Linked DNA regions of Xenopus tropicalis. The protein of the gene in region 2 interacts with the protein of the main gene of each other region in a biochemical or structural test. Links are inferred from orthologs where the notes say so. Each region holds a gene or a part of one and is shown on either strand. Other genes may lie near its edges.

The links.
Region 1: the proteins of gopc (region 2) and sstr5 form a complex in vitro, tested with the Homo sapiens proteins (2 studies listed by BioGRID and IntAct, with this or other methods). The link is inferred for Xenopus tropicalis from reciprocal best matches to the Homo sapiens genes GOPC and SSTR5.
Region 3: the proteins of gopc (region 2) and rps6ka1 interact in a test that uses a peptide from one of them, tested with the Homo sapiens proteins (2 studies listed by BioGRID and IntAct, with this or other methods). The link is inferred for Xenopus tropicalis from reciprocal best matches to the Homo sapiens genes GOPC and RPS6KA1.
Region 4: the proteins of gopc (region 2) and crhr1.2 form a complex in vitro, tested with the Homo sapiens proteins (2 studies listed by BioGRID and IntAct, with this or other methods). The link is inferred for Xenopus tropicalis from reciprocal best matches to the Homo sapiens genes GOPC and CRHR1.

The regions. Positions count from the first base shown.
Region 1 is NC_030685.2:17,505,564-17,509,538, forward strand, and holds the start of sstr5 (somatostatin receptor type 5), read left to right. Parts: upstream 1-1,175; 5' UTR 1,176-1,739; intron 1,740-3,975.
Region 2 is NC_030681.2:74,174,893-74,178,392, forward strand, and holds part of gopc (Golgi-associated PDZ and coiled-coil motif-containing protein), read left to right. Parts: coding exon 1-143; intron 144-1,584; coding exon 1,585-1,750; intron 1,751-2,000; coding exon 2,001-2,099; intron 2,100-2,954; coding exon 2,955-3,119; intron 3,120-3,378; coding exon 3,379-3,500.
Region 3 is NC_030678.2:77,585,384-77,589,386, reverse strand, and holds the start of rps6ka1 (ribosomal protein S6 kinase alpha-1), read right to left. Parts: upstream 2,801-4,003; 5' UTR 2,522-2,800; coding exon of another isoform or gene 2,473-2,521; coding exon 2,459-2,472; intron 1-2,458. UniProt on the Homo sapiens protein: Serine/threonine-protein kinase that acts downstream of ERK (MAPK1/ERK2 and MAPK3/ERK1) signaling and mediates mitogenic and stress-induced activation of the transcription factors CREB1, ETV1/ER81 and NR4A1/NUR77, regulates translation through RPS6 and EIF4B phosphorylation, and mediates cellular proliferation, survival, and differentiation by modulating mTOR signaling and repressing pro-apoptotic function of BAD and DAPK1.
Region 4 is NC_030686.2:16,307,654-16,311,696, reverse strand, and holds the start of crhr1.2 (corticotropin-releasing factor receptor 1), read right to left. Parts: upstream 2,801-4,043; 5' UTR 2,679-2,800; intron 1-2,678.

The DNA.
Region 1 (3,975 bases), on a different chromosome or scaffold from region 2:
CATTCCCAGCAGCCCTGAGAGCACAGTCATCCATGGTGCGGTGAGGGGGGGGGGGGGGGGGGGGTTGTAGTTCAGCAACACCAGTAGGACTACAGGTTCATATGTAACTATGTAACTTGACAGGTGCATTATTTGGGAGGTTAGAACAAAACTAACTAATAACTACTTTTTGGTTCTATGCTGAGCATTTGAGCCCCCCTCCCAGGGTAACTAAAGCCTTTTCAGAACCCCCACTCCAATATGACACCAATATATCCAATATATATCCAATGTATCCCATATGACACCTTCCTCTGTATAACATGAACACTCTGTATAACATTAACCCTCTCTATAACATGAACCCTCTGTATAACATTAACCCTCTCTATAACATGAACCCTCTCTATAACATGAACCCTCTCTATAACATGAACCCTCTCTATAACATTAACCCTCTCTATAACCTGAACCCTCTCTATAACATTAACCCTCTGTATAACATTAACCCTCTCTATAACATGAACCCTCTCTATAACATGAACCCTCTGTATAACATTAACCCTCTCTATAACATTAACCCTCTCTATAACATTAACCCTCTCTATAACATTAACCCTCTCTATAACATGAACCCTCTGTATAACATTAACCCTCTCTATAAAATGAACCCTCTGTATAACATTAACCCTCTCTATAACATTAACCCTCTCTATAACATCAACCCTCTCTATAACATGAACCCTCTGTATAACATGAACCCTCTGTATAACATCAACCCTCTCTATAACATGAACCCTCTGTATAACATGAACCCTCTGTATAACATTAACTCTCTCTATAACATCAACCCTCTCTATAACCTGAACCCTCTCTATAACCTGAACCCTCTCTATAACATTAACCCTCTGTATAACATTAACCCTCTCTATAACATGAACCCTCTGTATAACATGAACCCTCTCTATAACATTAACCCTCTCTATAACCTAACCCTCTGTATAACATGAACCCTCTCTATAACATTAACCCTCTCAAGAACTGGATCAATCAAACCCCATTGGATTCACAGAGCCAGACTGGATTAACCTGTGCCTGGCTGATCAGCAGGGAGGTGGAGAGGGGGATGTTCATAGAGAGCAGGGTGTGTGTGTATTTCTCCTGGTTCAGGAGGGAAGGACACCCTGAGCAGCAAGCTAATATATACATTAGCAACGGCATCTAATCTCCACACCTCAGGCTGCAGAAGCACAGACAGGAGTCGCAGCAGATGCACAGACAGGAGGAACAGAAGCACAGACATTAGAAATAAAAGGACAGACAGGAGGAACAGAAGCACAGACATTAGAAATAAAAGGACAGACAGGAGGAAAAGAAGGGCAGAAAGGAGGAATATAAGCAGCACTTTGTACTGCAGAGAGCTATGAGCTGCCTGTAGAACTGTACCTGCATGTCCGTCACAGAGGCGCTAATAGCACCTTTCCATTGCGCTGCCCACATGCCCTGTGACAGTGATCCTCACTCGCTTGCCCTCCCATTATAAGCGATGCGCTCACCTACCGCCATGGGATTTGTCTGTTCGGCAACCACAGATACGCAAGGAGCGTTGCGCTGCGTCTTGGCGCAGGAGAATTGGTGACTGGGCGCATCGGAGACACCGGGCTGGGAGGCAAGGCTGGGAGTGCCCATATCAGCCTGAGAAGTGGCCAGGTCTCGCCACAGATGGGGAGTCGCAGATAGACAGACGCAGCCAGAGGAAGGTAAGTTTGGCGAATTGGCGTTGGTTTTGCATTTCGGCACCGAGTTGGCATCAGTAGCCCGATCTGAAGTTCTAATTGCACCAATAATAGGAATAAGTGCTTTATTTTCTCTTAAAATTCCCTAAGGCTGAGAACGCCAAGTGTCGCCTGCGACCGCTAGAGCTGTAAGGGAGCTGGAGTCGCCGACTGCCCGACACCCTGCGGGGACTTGTGTATCCCCTGAACATGGTCATTGCCGCTGGCTGCTATAAAAATTGGTATACTAAGTTGGGAGACTAAGTTGCTATGAGAGGGACAAGTCGCACACACAGTCCAGCTAATCAGACACCTGTAGCTGTCGCAGCGATTGCCTTTCTGCATTGGAATTTTGTTTGTGTTTTGTTTGCAATTACGGTTTTTTTTGTCACCTTCACAACCGTTTGTAATATACTTCCCCTGTTATATTGTCGCACTTTCCCCAGTAGCATTCCTGCATCAGACGCTTGTTGCTGGAATTAACACTTTCATTCAAACACACTGATACCCACACACGTCTACACACCCACATATGCACACACAGACATATTCACACACACACACACACACACACAGACATATTCATACACACACATACAAATCTCTGTAGTATGAACACACACTCCCCTGCCTGCCATGCCACACACTCACACACACAGACATATTCATACACACACACACACAGACATATTCATACACACACACACACACACAGACATATTCATACACACACATACAAATCTCTGTAGAATGAACACACACTCCCCTGCCTGCCATGCCACACACTCACACACACAGACATATTCATACACTCACACACACAGACATATTCATACACACACACACACACAGACATATTCATACACACACATACAAATCTCTGTAGAATGAACACACACTCCCCTGCCTGCCATGCCACACACACAGACATATTCATACACACACACAGACATATTCCTACACACACATACAAATCTCTGTAGAATGAACACACACTCCCCTGCCTGCCATGCCACACACTCACACTCTGTTCATTATAACGCTCTCCCTGACCTACTACAACTCATTAGCCCAGACACTTGCCAAGCTTATTATGTCGCCCCATAATCTGTTCTAATGGTACCATTAGGGGGTTCTGTTATTGCCCAGTTAATGCCCTAGGTATCCAGGCATGGCTCTCCCTATGGAAGTCTGTGCCTCAGGGCCCTGCTGGCCAGGCAGTTCCCACTGTTCCTTCCAGACACTGATTATTATAGAAAATACCAAGCAGCCACCACTAGATCTGATTTTAATTAACCCCTTCCTATAGGCATAAATAACAGTGCGTCAGTCTTTATCTTCCTGCTGGCAGGCAGGGGGTTAAGTCATGAAAGAACATGATATATGACTTGTGAGGAGCAGTAGCACAGTGCATATATGTCTTGTCAAGATAAGGCCCCCCCCCCATGCCTGTCACCCAAGGGAACCAGAGCTAAATGTTCTATATTCCTTCCTTATCATACCCCGCACATACTGTTTGCTCTTGGGCTCTTTAGTCTGCAAATGGCAACATCTCAGCCTCTTTGCATTGTGTTTCCCTTCCCTTATGTGCTGCCAGCTGGATAGAGATTATACTCTGATCATCTGTATTCCACAATCAGTGCATATAGATATTAATGGTGCAGCCTGCACTGATTTCTAAGCAGCCCGGCCAACTTCTTTCCATAATAGAAAGCTCCTGTTTATATAGTTCCAATGTTTATAGCACCCAGAACACATAGACCAATTATCAATAATTTCTTTACTGAGAACTTTCAATTTGATATTTAATTTCATTTGCAGTTGGTCCTTATTTAATCTGTTTTGTATTTTTTAACTATGTTCTTCAGCTATCCAGTATGGCATTGCAGCTGTTCTCTGACTGCTTCTCTATTAGTGACCATAGCAACCAGTTAGTGGTATGAATGCCAGAGTGGAGGATGAGCATAGGAAGGCAGGATAAACCTATACAAAGGGCAATAGATACATTTACCCTTATATTCAGTCTTTCAGTTACTCAGATAATTATAGAAAAGCCCCCAACACTCTGAATTCAGAGAGGGGCATGTACGGGCGCAGCATTAGAACAATAATGGAGCAAGGTAAAAATTTTAAAAATTGTGCACTATTTTTGCACTTTGCCCCTAGCACAGCACTGTGGAAGATGTTATTGGGGGTACCCAGCACAGCAGGGGCACCAAGG
Region 2 (3,500 bases):
GTGAAGGAAGCTCAGTTGGAAGCAGAAGTGAAATTACTTCGTAAGGAAAATGAAGCCCTTCGTAGGCACATTGCAGTTCTGCAGGCAGAAGTGTATGGGGCGCGACTGGCAGCCAAGTACCTAGATAAGGAGCTGGCTGGAAGGTGAGTGTCTGCTTTACTGTAATGATTATTTTACCTGGAAAAATAATATAACCTAACATAAATTAGTGTGTAGTCATGTCAAGGATTTCATTTTTCATCAGGGATATGTTGTCAAGACATTTTAGCTGATGAGTTCTCTATGTTTTTAAGACACAGTATCATACTAGTATAATTTAAATTTTAGGCTAAAAGAGACCCCCTAACGGTAAGGAGACTCCAGTAAACTACACATCCTGATGAATTGAAAATGTTTTTTATTACTACTTAACTACTACAGACTACAAAACTTCCAAAAATATAAATAGTATTTCACAACTGTTTAGCATGCAGAGCCCCAAAATATAAATAGTCCATACAAACTTTCAAGGTGGACGCTTTGGCACCTACAAATATAGCTTTTTTATTTTTAAGTGGTTAGCAGTACAAGACACTAAACAGTATGTATAACCCCCATAAACCATAAAAACCTTTCTTGTGTCAGTTACACATTCTGATAAGGTAAATGAGTCTTTTTTTATTTCAGAGTACCTTGTATTTTATAGTATCTCCCAAAATGAATGTTAAATATGCATGTGAGGTCAATTTTATACTCTGTATGCACAGGCTTACCCAACTATGCATATATATAGAGAAATCTAAAATTATATATACAAATTTTTTTAACTAACTTTTGTCCTTGGAGAAAAAAAAAAAAAAAAACATACTGTGCTTTGATATCTGCATCCCAAAAACTCTATTAGTAAGAAAAGACAGTTATATTGGAAAACTGATATCCTAAACAATGATAAACTGGTTTCTGGGCAGTACTTGCATACAGCTATTCTTGCCTAAACATAGTGGATTTCACCAGTCGGCCTTTTACACTCACATGAAACAAAGAGAGAAATCATGAATTCTTGGGCGAACCATCACTGTAGCGTTAACCAGTTGCTATGTTTACAGCGGTTGAGCCAGCCTACACTCTGTAGTGGACCAACCGCAACAAATGAAATACAGCCATTATTTGCACAGACAAAAGAGAAAAACATCAGTGCCCAAATTCAGCCTGTGTGAATCCCATTAAATACATTTTACAAAACTAATATCATTTGAGCACAATAATATCTGTCTACAGTATTATTACAGTATTGTTATAATACACCAGTGGCTTAAAAACACACCAGGGACATGACATTTTATTTTTTGCATTCTAATTCTAAAATGGATTTGTGTATTAACTTTTTATATTCACTTAAAAACGTAAACACTGACCCTCATGAGTAGTAAAAAAAAAGTACAAGTCCGCCAAGGTGAAGTATAACCCCTAGAAAGGAACAGGTGGAGCAGCAGTTATTTTCTAAACATTCCCTTTGTTTTCAGGTACAAGGCTATGCTTTAATGTTACTGTCAGAACATAAAAGTGGAAAGAGTGTTTGATAAAGGTATTTTATTTTGTTTCCAGAGTCCAGCAGATTCAGTTGCTTGGTAGAGACATGAAGGGCCCTGCTCACGACAAATTGTGGAATCAGCTTGAGGCTGAAATTCACTTGCATCGGCACAAGACTGTTATTCGAGCCTGTCGGGGGCGAAATGATCTGAAGCGTCCATTGCCGGTACCTCCAGGACACGTAAGTTCCAGTAGATACAGTGTGTGAGCAGTTAATCTGCCTTATTGCAGTGTTTGCACACCTGCTGTTGCACATAACATAGCATCCAGCAGGTGAGACCCAGTGCTATTGTTATCATGACAGACTCCTGCTAGAATTGTTACAAATATAGGATAAGTTCCAGGATGTGGTTGCAAACAGATTTACAATTCTGTTTTTTTATTTAACTCCTTTCTGCATTTAGGATAATCATTATATCTTTGTGTCTCAGCAGGACCCAGACTGCTTAAAAAAAAGCCAAGGAGTTGGCCCTATCAGAAAAGTAATTCTGGCTAAAGAAGATCACGAAGGGCTTGGCATATCAATCACGGTGATTAACAGCTCTTGTTTATGTTTATTAGTACTTTGTACATTCAAAGCCTGTTTATTGTGTGGAGTTATACATATATGATCCTACTAGCAGAACAGTGTTTGACAAGTGATGGGTACAATATCTGAGTAACAAAAGGCGAGTATGTGCTCACCACTATATAAAGTGTGGTTGTAATGAAGTTGTGACTACATATCATAGGCAAACTTCTGCTATATGTTCTTTGTAAATACACATGTATTTCATATGTATGTCACTTCAGGTGCACAGTAGGTGTGGAGCATGGATGTGGTGACACTTAGGGGCTGATTTACTAATCTCCGAATCCGAATGAGAAAAATTTGGATTGGAAAACGAACATTTTGCGACTTTTTCGTATTTTTTGCGATTTTTTCGTCGCCGTTACGACTTTCCCGTAAATTGTCGCGACTTTTTCATAACCGGTACGACTTGTGCGAATTGTTGCGACTTTTTCATAGCCATAACAAATTTCGTGGAATGTTGCAACTTTTTCATTGCCATTATGCCTTTGGAGAATTGTCGTGACTTTTTCATTGCCATTATGCCTTTGGAGAATTGTCACGACTTTTTCATTGCCATTACGACTTTCGCGAATTGTCGCAACTTTCGTATTGAGAGCTCGAAAAAGTCGCGACAATTTGCGAAAAAGTCGCAAAGTACCGATCATTACGAAAAAAACGCATTCAGACGCTTTTCGGACGTTCGTGGATTAGTAAATGTGCCCCTTAGTCTATTATGCATGTGTCACAAGGTTTGACCTCTTCTGTGCTGTGAAAAGTGCTGGAAATTAGGGATTTTTACATTTTCATTTAAGATGTTTGTGTTATATTTTAGGGCGGGAAAGAGCACGGTGTTCCAATACTTATCTCCGAAATCCACCCAGCACAGCCAGCAGACCGCTGTGGTGGACTGCATGTTGGGGATGCAATTTTGGCAGTTAACGGAATTAATTTAAGGGATGCCAAGCACAAAGAAGCTGTTACAATTCTCTCTCAGCAGGTAATAATTTAGATTCATCCTTTATCACTCCTTGGTGATTTCTAATATGCATGCATTTAAATTACACTTGGATGTATATTGACACTAGAGTTTACAACAGGATTAACTATCCTGTAGGTGTATATAATATAGTTACACAGGAATTAACCAAATAGTGCTTTCTTTATATGCTTGTTAGTACTGCCATTCTGATATGCACATACATTGCTGTAATTATGTGTTCATACATTTTTTCTAACCAGTGTTGTTTACCTTCTAGAGAGGGGAAATTGAGTTTGAGGTTGTGTATGTTGCCCCTGAAATAGATTCTGATGATGAAAATGTAGAGTATGAAGATGAGAGTGGACATCGTTATCGTTTGTATCTCGATGAATTAGAAGA
Region 3 (4,003 bases), on a different chromosome or scaffold from region 2:
GCGGATCTTACGATGTTTCGTGCGACCGATGGTCGTACGAAACATCGTCAGATCGCCACGTGTATGGCCACCTTAAATCATGGAACAACAAAGTTGGTGAACAGGGTGCTATGCTACGTATATACATCCATAATGAAGTAAACCTGGTTTTTAGTATTGCTCTTAATTTTGACACCCTTAGAAATTATGCAGAAGTATAATATGAGGTAAACCTTTTTCCCCTTCAGGTGACCTAACTGAAGGAAGAAGTGTTTTAATTTTGACTGTCAGTAATCAGGAAATGTTTATACACGCAGTGCCTCAAACATAAGAACTAAAGTGCAGTTGCCAACTGCAACCAATCATGTCTCTTTCTAACAGTAGTGGACTGTTGAAATCTAATTGCTGATTGCACACAAAACACCACAAACACAAACAGTATTTGAGATGCATTAATTTTCTCTGACAGTCAAAGCTATTAAAGCAGATAGGTATTAATGGCAATTTGCTTTTTTGTAATGTGTGCGTGGTTCATAGTTTGTTCTTTTTATAGCTAGGAGACATACTTTCTTTATCATGCTGAACTGGGTGCGCCTGCGGAGCGATATCTTTTTTTCCATGTTTAGCTAATCCTCCCCCTTGATTTCATTTAACCAGTGTATAGTGTAAACCTTTGTGCACCACTGCCGTTAGCAATGCAATACCTTCTAGTTCTGCACCAGCAAAATCAACACACAGCACCCTGAAATGTTAAAATTTACTCTCTGCCCTTTGCTTTAATAAAGAAAGTGTAATATAATGTGGGGTGTTTTAATTATTGTGGTCTAGTGGAAAGAATCCACTTCAGCATATACACCAAATATATATTTATAAAAGGGAATGGCTAGCGAGTTGCCTAGATAGTGCTTCTACATTTAAGTACTTTCTTAACTGAACAAGCTCAACTATTGAAATAGTATATAAAGGTGTAGGATCCCTTTTCCGGAAACCCGTTATCCAGAAAGTTCCAAATTACGGAAAGGACATCTCCCATAGACTCCATTATAAGCAAATAATTCTAATTTTTAAAAACAATTTCCTTTTTCTCTGTAATTATAAAACAGTACCTTGTACTTGATCTCAACTAAGATATAATTACGGTAATACTTACTGGAGGCAAAACAATCCTATTGGGTTTTAATGACGTTTAAATTATTTCTTAAGGTCCCCATACACGGGCCAACTATAGCTGCCGATATCGGTCCCTTGGACCGATTCGGCAGCTAATCGGCCCGTGTATGGGGAGAGCCGAGCAGCCTGGCCGACCGATATCTGGCCTGAAATTGGCCAGATCTCGATCGGGCAGGTTAGAAAATCCGGTCGGATCGGGGACCACATCGGCTCGTTGATGCGGTCCCCGATCCGACTGCCCCATTGCCGCCCACATAATCCGATCGTTTGGCCCCAGGGCCAAACGATCGGATTATTTTTTTTTTTACCTAAAGGCTCCCCGATATCGCCCACCCGTAGGTGGGGATATTGGGGGAAGATCCGCTCGCTTGGCGACATCGCCAAGCGAGCGGATCTGCTCGTGTATGGCCACCTTTAGTAGACTTAAGGTATGGAGATCCAAATTACAGAAAGATCCCTTATCCGGAATGCCCCAGGTCCCCAGCATTCTTGATAACAGGTTCAATACCCGAACCTGCATTCCAAATATTTTAGATGTGCTAATCTTTAATTCAGTTGGGATCTTTTTTTTTTTTTTTTTTTTTTTTTTGAAGCATTAAGGAAATTTAGTTCATGTTCAAGTCACACTGTGTTCTAAGGCACACAAGATCTTACAAAATGAATATTGTATTAAAAAGGGATTTATTGCAATATAGTTATTGAAATAAAAGCTCTCAATCTCTCAAAACATAATTAATGAACACAAATGTCAATGTATAGGAGGACATCAACCTGCGTTCTACAGCTGCTTGCTAACTACAGTCGAACTGTGGGGGACGGCTGGAACTGCAGATTCAGCAACAGGTGGATTGCTACAGAATACAGTTCCACATTAAATATATACCAAGATCAGTCAATGGCTGTTGATCAGCGGCTTCAACAGCAGGAGGGATGTGCGACCTGTGACCACAAGTTCTGCAGTAGGGAAACATAAGATGTGCAGCCTCTAATTGAATTCCGCGGTGGGGGGCTCAGAAATAGTAAATATACACCACCTCTGAAAGAAGTGCATGACTGAAATTGTGACGAATATCGGCAGCCCATAAAGAGCTGAAGGCCATCAGGTAACACGCACAGTCTTTCTCTTATGAAGAGACGCAAGAGAATGCGGCAGCAACACATACACACGAACCCATGCTATTCTAAAAGACCTATTCTAACCGTAAGTAGCTTTGATTGGTTGTAATCAGAAAACACTGCTACCTCCCCCCCTCCAACATTTTCTGACTGCTTCAGCTTCGAAACCTCGTCCGCAACTGACAGTTCTCACCTCCGTCTCCTCATGAACCACCTCCACCTCGGGCCAAAGATCCACTAGTTGTGCCAGCGGCATCTTCAACGCGTTCTCTCAGGTGCTACACAACGTAAAGCAGGGACACCGCTGCGCACCCTGCACGGCTTGAAACGCAAAATAATTAAATACGAAGATTCCAGCTTTCAGTCACTGTTTAAGTTACTATCGACAATTATTTATGATACGTAGGGTCTGCGTAGTCCAGGTCCTTTTTTTCCGCTATAACGCCTGCACCTCTCGCACTTAGTCTACACTACTCGGTGTCCGGCGACAGACTGACCGCTTGACTCCTCCTAACTCACTGACAGAAGGGCACGTGCCGCCCTGCCCGCCTACTATTGGCTCCTCCCGGTTTCTAAGCTGTCAATTGGCCCCTTGTTCAGAAAAGGCGGTGTTTCTGGTACTAACCCATTCCGCATTCCCTCAGGTGAATCTTTGCTTTTACTACTCCGAAGATTTAAGCGGGAAAGAATGGGCAACGTTTCGCTAAGTGCGCCATCTTGTGGCATGAGGCGTAAGAATAGTACGGTTCTGAGTGAGACAATCGCTTTTATATCTTGTACAACACTTAGGGGTACATTTACTAAGACACGAATCTGAACCGAATTGGAAAAATTCCGACTTGAAAACGAACATTTTGCGACTTTTTCGTATTTTTTGCGATTTTTTCAGCGTCTTCACGACTTTTCGGAAATTGTCGCGACTTTTTCGTTACCAATACGATTTGCGCGAAAAAACGCGAGTTTTTCGTAGCCATTCCGAAAGTTGCGCAAAATCGCCCGATTTTTTCGTAGCGTTAAAGCTTGCGCGAAAAGTTGCGCAACTTTTAACGCTACGAAAAATGGCCAGATTTTGCGCAACTTTCGGAATGGCTACGAAAAACTTGCGTTTTTTTCGCACAAATCGTATTAGTAACGAAAAAGTCGCGACATTTTTCCGAAAAAATCGCAAAATACCGATCATTACGAAAAAAATGCAATTGGACGCATTCGGCCCGTTCGTGGCTTAGTAAATGTGCCCCTTAGGGGCCGTTCATTAAACCACGCTTTTTTTTTTTTTTTTTGAGAAAAAAAAAAATCAAAATTTTTGTAATGCCCACGATAATTTCGTTAAAATTCCACAACTTTTTCGTGGGTTTAGTTAACTTCCACAAAAAGTCATATTTTTCACAAAGACTACAACCATTTCGGAATTCATTCAAGCTTTGGTATCGTGACTTTCTTTTGGCCAGGTTGGATCTGTAGAGTGCCGTTGAGTCCTAAGGAAGACTTCCAAAATCATATGTAGCCCACTTTAGCTGGCAGTGCTGCTACTGGTGCCCTCTTGGCTTACTTCTGGCGCAGAAGTCGTGAGCCCCCACTTACTATGGGGGTAACAGGGAGTCTTCACTGTTAATGGCATGCCTCCACCCAGGGGTGATGTGGGACTATAACTCCCACCCTGGGACTTGATATTACACTGTAACCTTTGTCAGGGACTCCACACAACTCCTGGCTCCTTGCCCCTCCCATGGGGTAGTAG
Region 4 (4,043 bases), on a different chromosome or scaffold from region 2:
TGTATGGTGCAATGAGTGAGTGCTGGTGTGAGTGTATGTATGGTGCAATGAGTGAGTGCTGGTGTAAGTGTATGTATGGTGCAATGAGTGAGTGCTGGTGTAAGTGTATGTATGCTGCAATGAGTGAGTGCTGGTGTGAGTGTATGTATGGTGCAATGAGTGTGTGCTGGTGTGAGTGTATGTGAGGTGCAATGAGTGTGTGCTGGTGTAAGTGTATGTATGGTGCAATGAGTGAGTGCTGGTGTGAGTGTATGTGAGGTGCAATGAGTGAGTGCTGGTGTAAGTGTATGTATGGTGCAATGAGTGAGTGCTGGTGTGAGTGTATGTATGGTGCAATGAGTGAGTGCTGGTGTGAGTGTATGTGAGGTGCAATGAGTGAGTGCTGGTGTGAGTGTATGTATGGTGCAATGAGTGTGTGCTAGTGTGAGTGTATGTATGGTGCAATGAGTGTGTGCTGGTGTGAGTGTATGTATGGTGCAATGAGTGAGTGCTGGTGTGAGTGTATGTATGGTGCAATGAGTGAGTGCTGGTGTGAGTGTATGTATGGTGCAATGAGTGAGTGCTGGTGTGAGTGTATGTATGGTGCAATGAGTGAATGCTGGTGTGAGTGTATGTATGGTGCAATGAGTGAGTGCTGGTTTGAGGGTATGTATGGTGCAATGAGTGAGTGCTGGTGTAAGTGTATGTATGGTGCAATGAGTGAGTGCTGGTGTGAGTGTATGTATGGTGCAATGAGTGAGTGCTGGTGTGAGTATATGTTTGGTGCAATGTGTGTGTGCTGGTGTAAGTGTATGTATGGTGCAATGAGTGAGTGCTGGTGTGATTGTATGTATGGTGCAATGAGTGAGTGCTGGTGTGAGTGTATGTATGGTGCAATGAGTGAGTGCTGGTGTGAGTGTATGTATGGTGCAATTAGTGAGTGCTGGTGTGAGTGTATGTATGGTGCAATGAGTGAATGCTGGTGTGAGTGTATGTATGGTGCAATGAGTGAGTGCTGGTGTGAGGGTATGTATGGTGCAATGAGTGAGTGCTGGTGTAAGTGTATGTATGGTGCAATGAGTGAGTGCTGGTGTGAGTGTATGTATGGTGCAATGAGTGAGTGCTGGTGTGAGTATATGTTTGGTGCAATGTGTGTGTGCTGGTGTAAGTGTATGTATGGTGCAACGAGTGAGTGCTGGTGTGAGTGTATGTATGGTGCAATGAGTGAGTGCTGGTGTGAGTGTATGTATGGTGCAATGAGTGAGTGCTGGTGTGAGTGTATGTATGGTGCAATGAGTGAGTGCTTGTGTGAGGGTATGTATGGTGCAATGAGTGAGTGCAGGTGTGAGTATGTATGGTGCAATGAGTGAGTGCTTGTGTGAGTGTATGTATGGTGCAATGAGTGAGTGCAGGTGTGAGTGTATGTATGGTGCAATGAGTGAGTGCAGGTGTGAGTATGTATGGTGCAATGAGTGAGTGCTGGTGTGAGTGTATGTATGGTGCAATGAGTGAGTGCTTGTGTGAGGGTATGTATGGTGCAATGAGTGAGTGCTGGTGCGATTGTATGTATGGTGCAATGAGTGAGTGCTGGTGTGAGTGTATGTATGGTGCAATGAGTGAGTGCTGGTGTGAGTGTATGTATGGTGCAATTAGTGAGTGCTGGTGTGAGTGTATGTATGGTGCAATGAGTGAATGCTGGTGTGAGTGTATGTATGGTGCAATTAGTGAGTGCTGGTGTGAGTGTATGTATGGTGCAATGAGTGAATGCTGGTGTGAGTGTATGTATGGTGCAATGAGTGAGTGCTGGTGTGAGTGTATGTATGGTGCAATGAGTGAGTGCTGGTGTGAGTGTATGTATGGTGCAATTAGTGAGTGCTGGTGTGAGTATATGTTTGGTGCAATGTGTGTGTGCTGGTGTAAGTGTATGTATGGTGCAATGAGTGAATGCTGGTGTGAGTGTATGTATGGTGCAATGAGTGAGTGCTGGTGTGAGTGTATGTATGGTGCAATGAGTGAATGCTGGTGTGAGTGTATGTATGGTGCAATGAGTGAGTGCTGGTGTGAGTGTATGTATGGTGCAATTAGTGAGTGCTGGTGTAAGTGTATGTATGGTGCAATGAGTGAGTGCTTGTGTGAGTGTATGTATGGTGCAATTAGTGAGTGCTGGTGTGAGTATATGTTTGGTGCAATGTGTGTGTGCTGGTGTAAGTGTATGTATGGTGCAATGAGTGAGTGCTGGTGTGAGTGTATGTATGGTGCAATGAGTGAGTGCAGGTGTGAGTGTATGTATGGTGCAATGAGTGAGTGCTTGTGTGAGTGTATGTATGGTGCAATGAGTGAGTGCAGGTGTGAGTGTATGTATGGTGCAATGAGTGAGTGCTTGTGTGAGGGTATGTATGGTGCAATGAGTGAGTGCTGGTGTAAGTGTATGTATGGTGCAATGAGTGAGTGCTTGTGTGAGTGTATGTATGGTGCAATGAGTGAGTGCTGGTGTGAGTGTATGTATGGTGCAATGAGTGAGTGCTTGTGTGAGTGTATGTATGGTGCAATGAGTGAGTGCTTGTGTGAGTGTATGTATGGTGCAATAAGTGAGTGCTGGTGTGAGTGTATGTATGGTGCAATAAGTGAGTGCTGGTGTGAGTGTATGTATGGTGCAATGAGTGAGTGCTGGTGTGAGGGTATGTTCATATTTACATTACCTGTGGGTGTCAGAGGCGGGGAGACCATGGGTGCCATCTTGGATATCAGTGCCAGGTTGTGCAGCTGGACCAGTGTGGTGCCTGGGTATGATGGAACGCAAGCCCTGAAACGCTGGAAGGGAATGAAATGATGGGGGGAAGTAAAGATGAAAAAAGAGCAAGGGAGGGGTCTGTTACAGAAAAGAATTGCTGGGACAGCTGCTGTTTCTATTTTGTGACTACTGTTTCAGTGCTCCCTTCCTGGTAATAGCGCCAGGGTCAGAAGGGCAGGGAGTCAGGGGAGAGGTATGGGCTGGATTTGGGCTCTACGGGATCAGGATTAGCTGCGCAGCACAAGGAAAGGGCCAAATACACAGAGATATCGGGGGAGAGGAGGAACAGACACAGGTGAGAGAAGTTACTTTTTAGTCACCACTAGCCCTGTCACAGTGAGTAGAGTGTCACAGGGGGTTACAGTGAGTAGTGTGTCACAGGGAGTTACAGTGAGTAGTGTGTCACAGGGAGTTACAGTGAGTAGTGTGTCACAGGGAGTTACAGTGAGTAGTGTGTCACAGGGGGTTACAGTGAGTAGTGTGTCACAGGGGGTTACAGTGAGTAGTGTGTCACAGGGGGTTACAGTGAGTAGTGTGTCACAGGGGGTTACAGTGAGTAGTGTGTCACAGGGAGTTACAGTGAGTAGTGTGTCACAGGGGGTTACAGTGAGTAGTGTGTCACAGGGAGTTACAGTGAGTAGTGTGTCACAGGGGGTTACAGTGAGTAGTGTGTCACAGGGAGTTACAGTGAGTAGTGTGTCACAGGGGGTTACAGTGAGTAGTGTGTCACAGGGGGTTACAGTGAGTAGTGTGTCACAGGGAGTTACAGTGAGTAGTGTGTCACAGGGAGTTACAGTGAGTAGTGTGTCACAGGGAGTTACAGTGAGTAGTGTGTCACAGGGAGTTACAGTGAGTAGTGTGTCACGGGGAGTTACAGTGAGTAGCGTGTCACAGGGAGTTACAGTGAGTAGCGTGTCACGGGGAGTTACAGTGAGTAGCGTGTCACAGGGAGTTACAGTGAGTAGCGCGTCACGGGGAGTTACAGTGAGTAGCGTGTCATAGGGAGTTACAGTGAGTAGTGTGTCACAGGGAGTTACAGTGAGTAGCGTGTCACAGGGAGTTACAGTGAGTAGCGTGTCACGGGGAGTTACAGTGAGTAGCGTGCCACGGGGAGTTACAGTGAGTAGCGTGTCACGGGGAGTTACAGTGAGTAGCGTGTCACGGGGAGTTACAGTGAGTAGCGTGTCATAGGGAGTTACAGTGAGTAGAGTGTCACAGGGAGTTACAGTGAGTAGAGTGTCACAGGGGGTTACAGTGAGTAGAGTGTCACAGG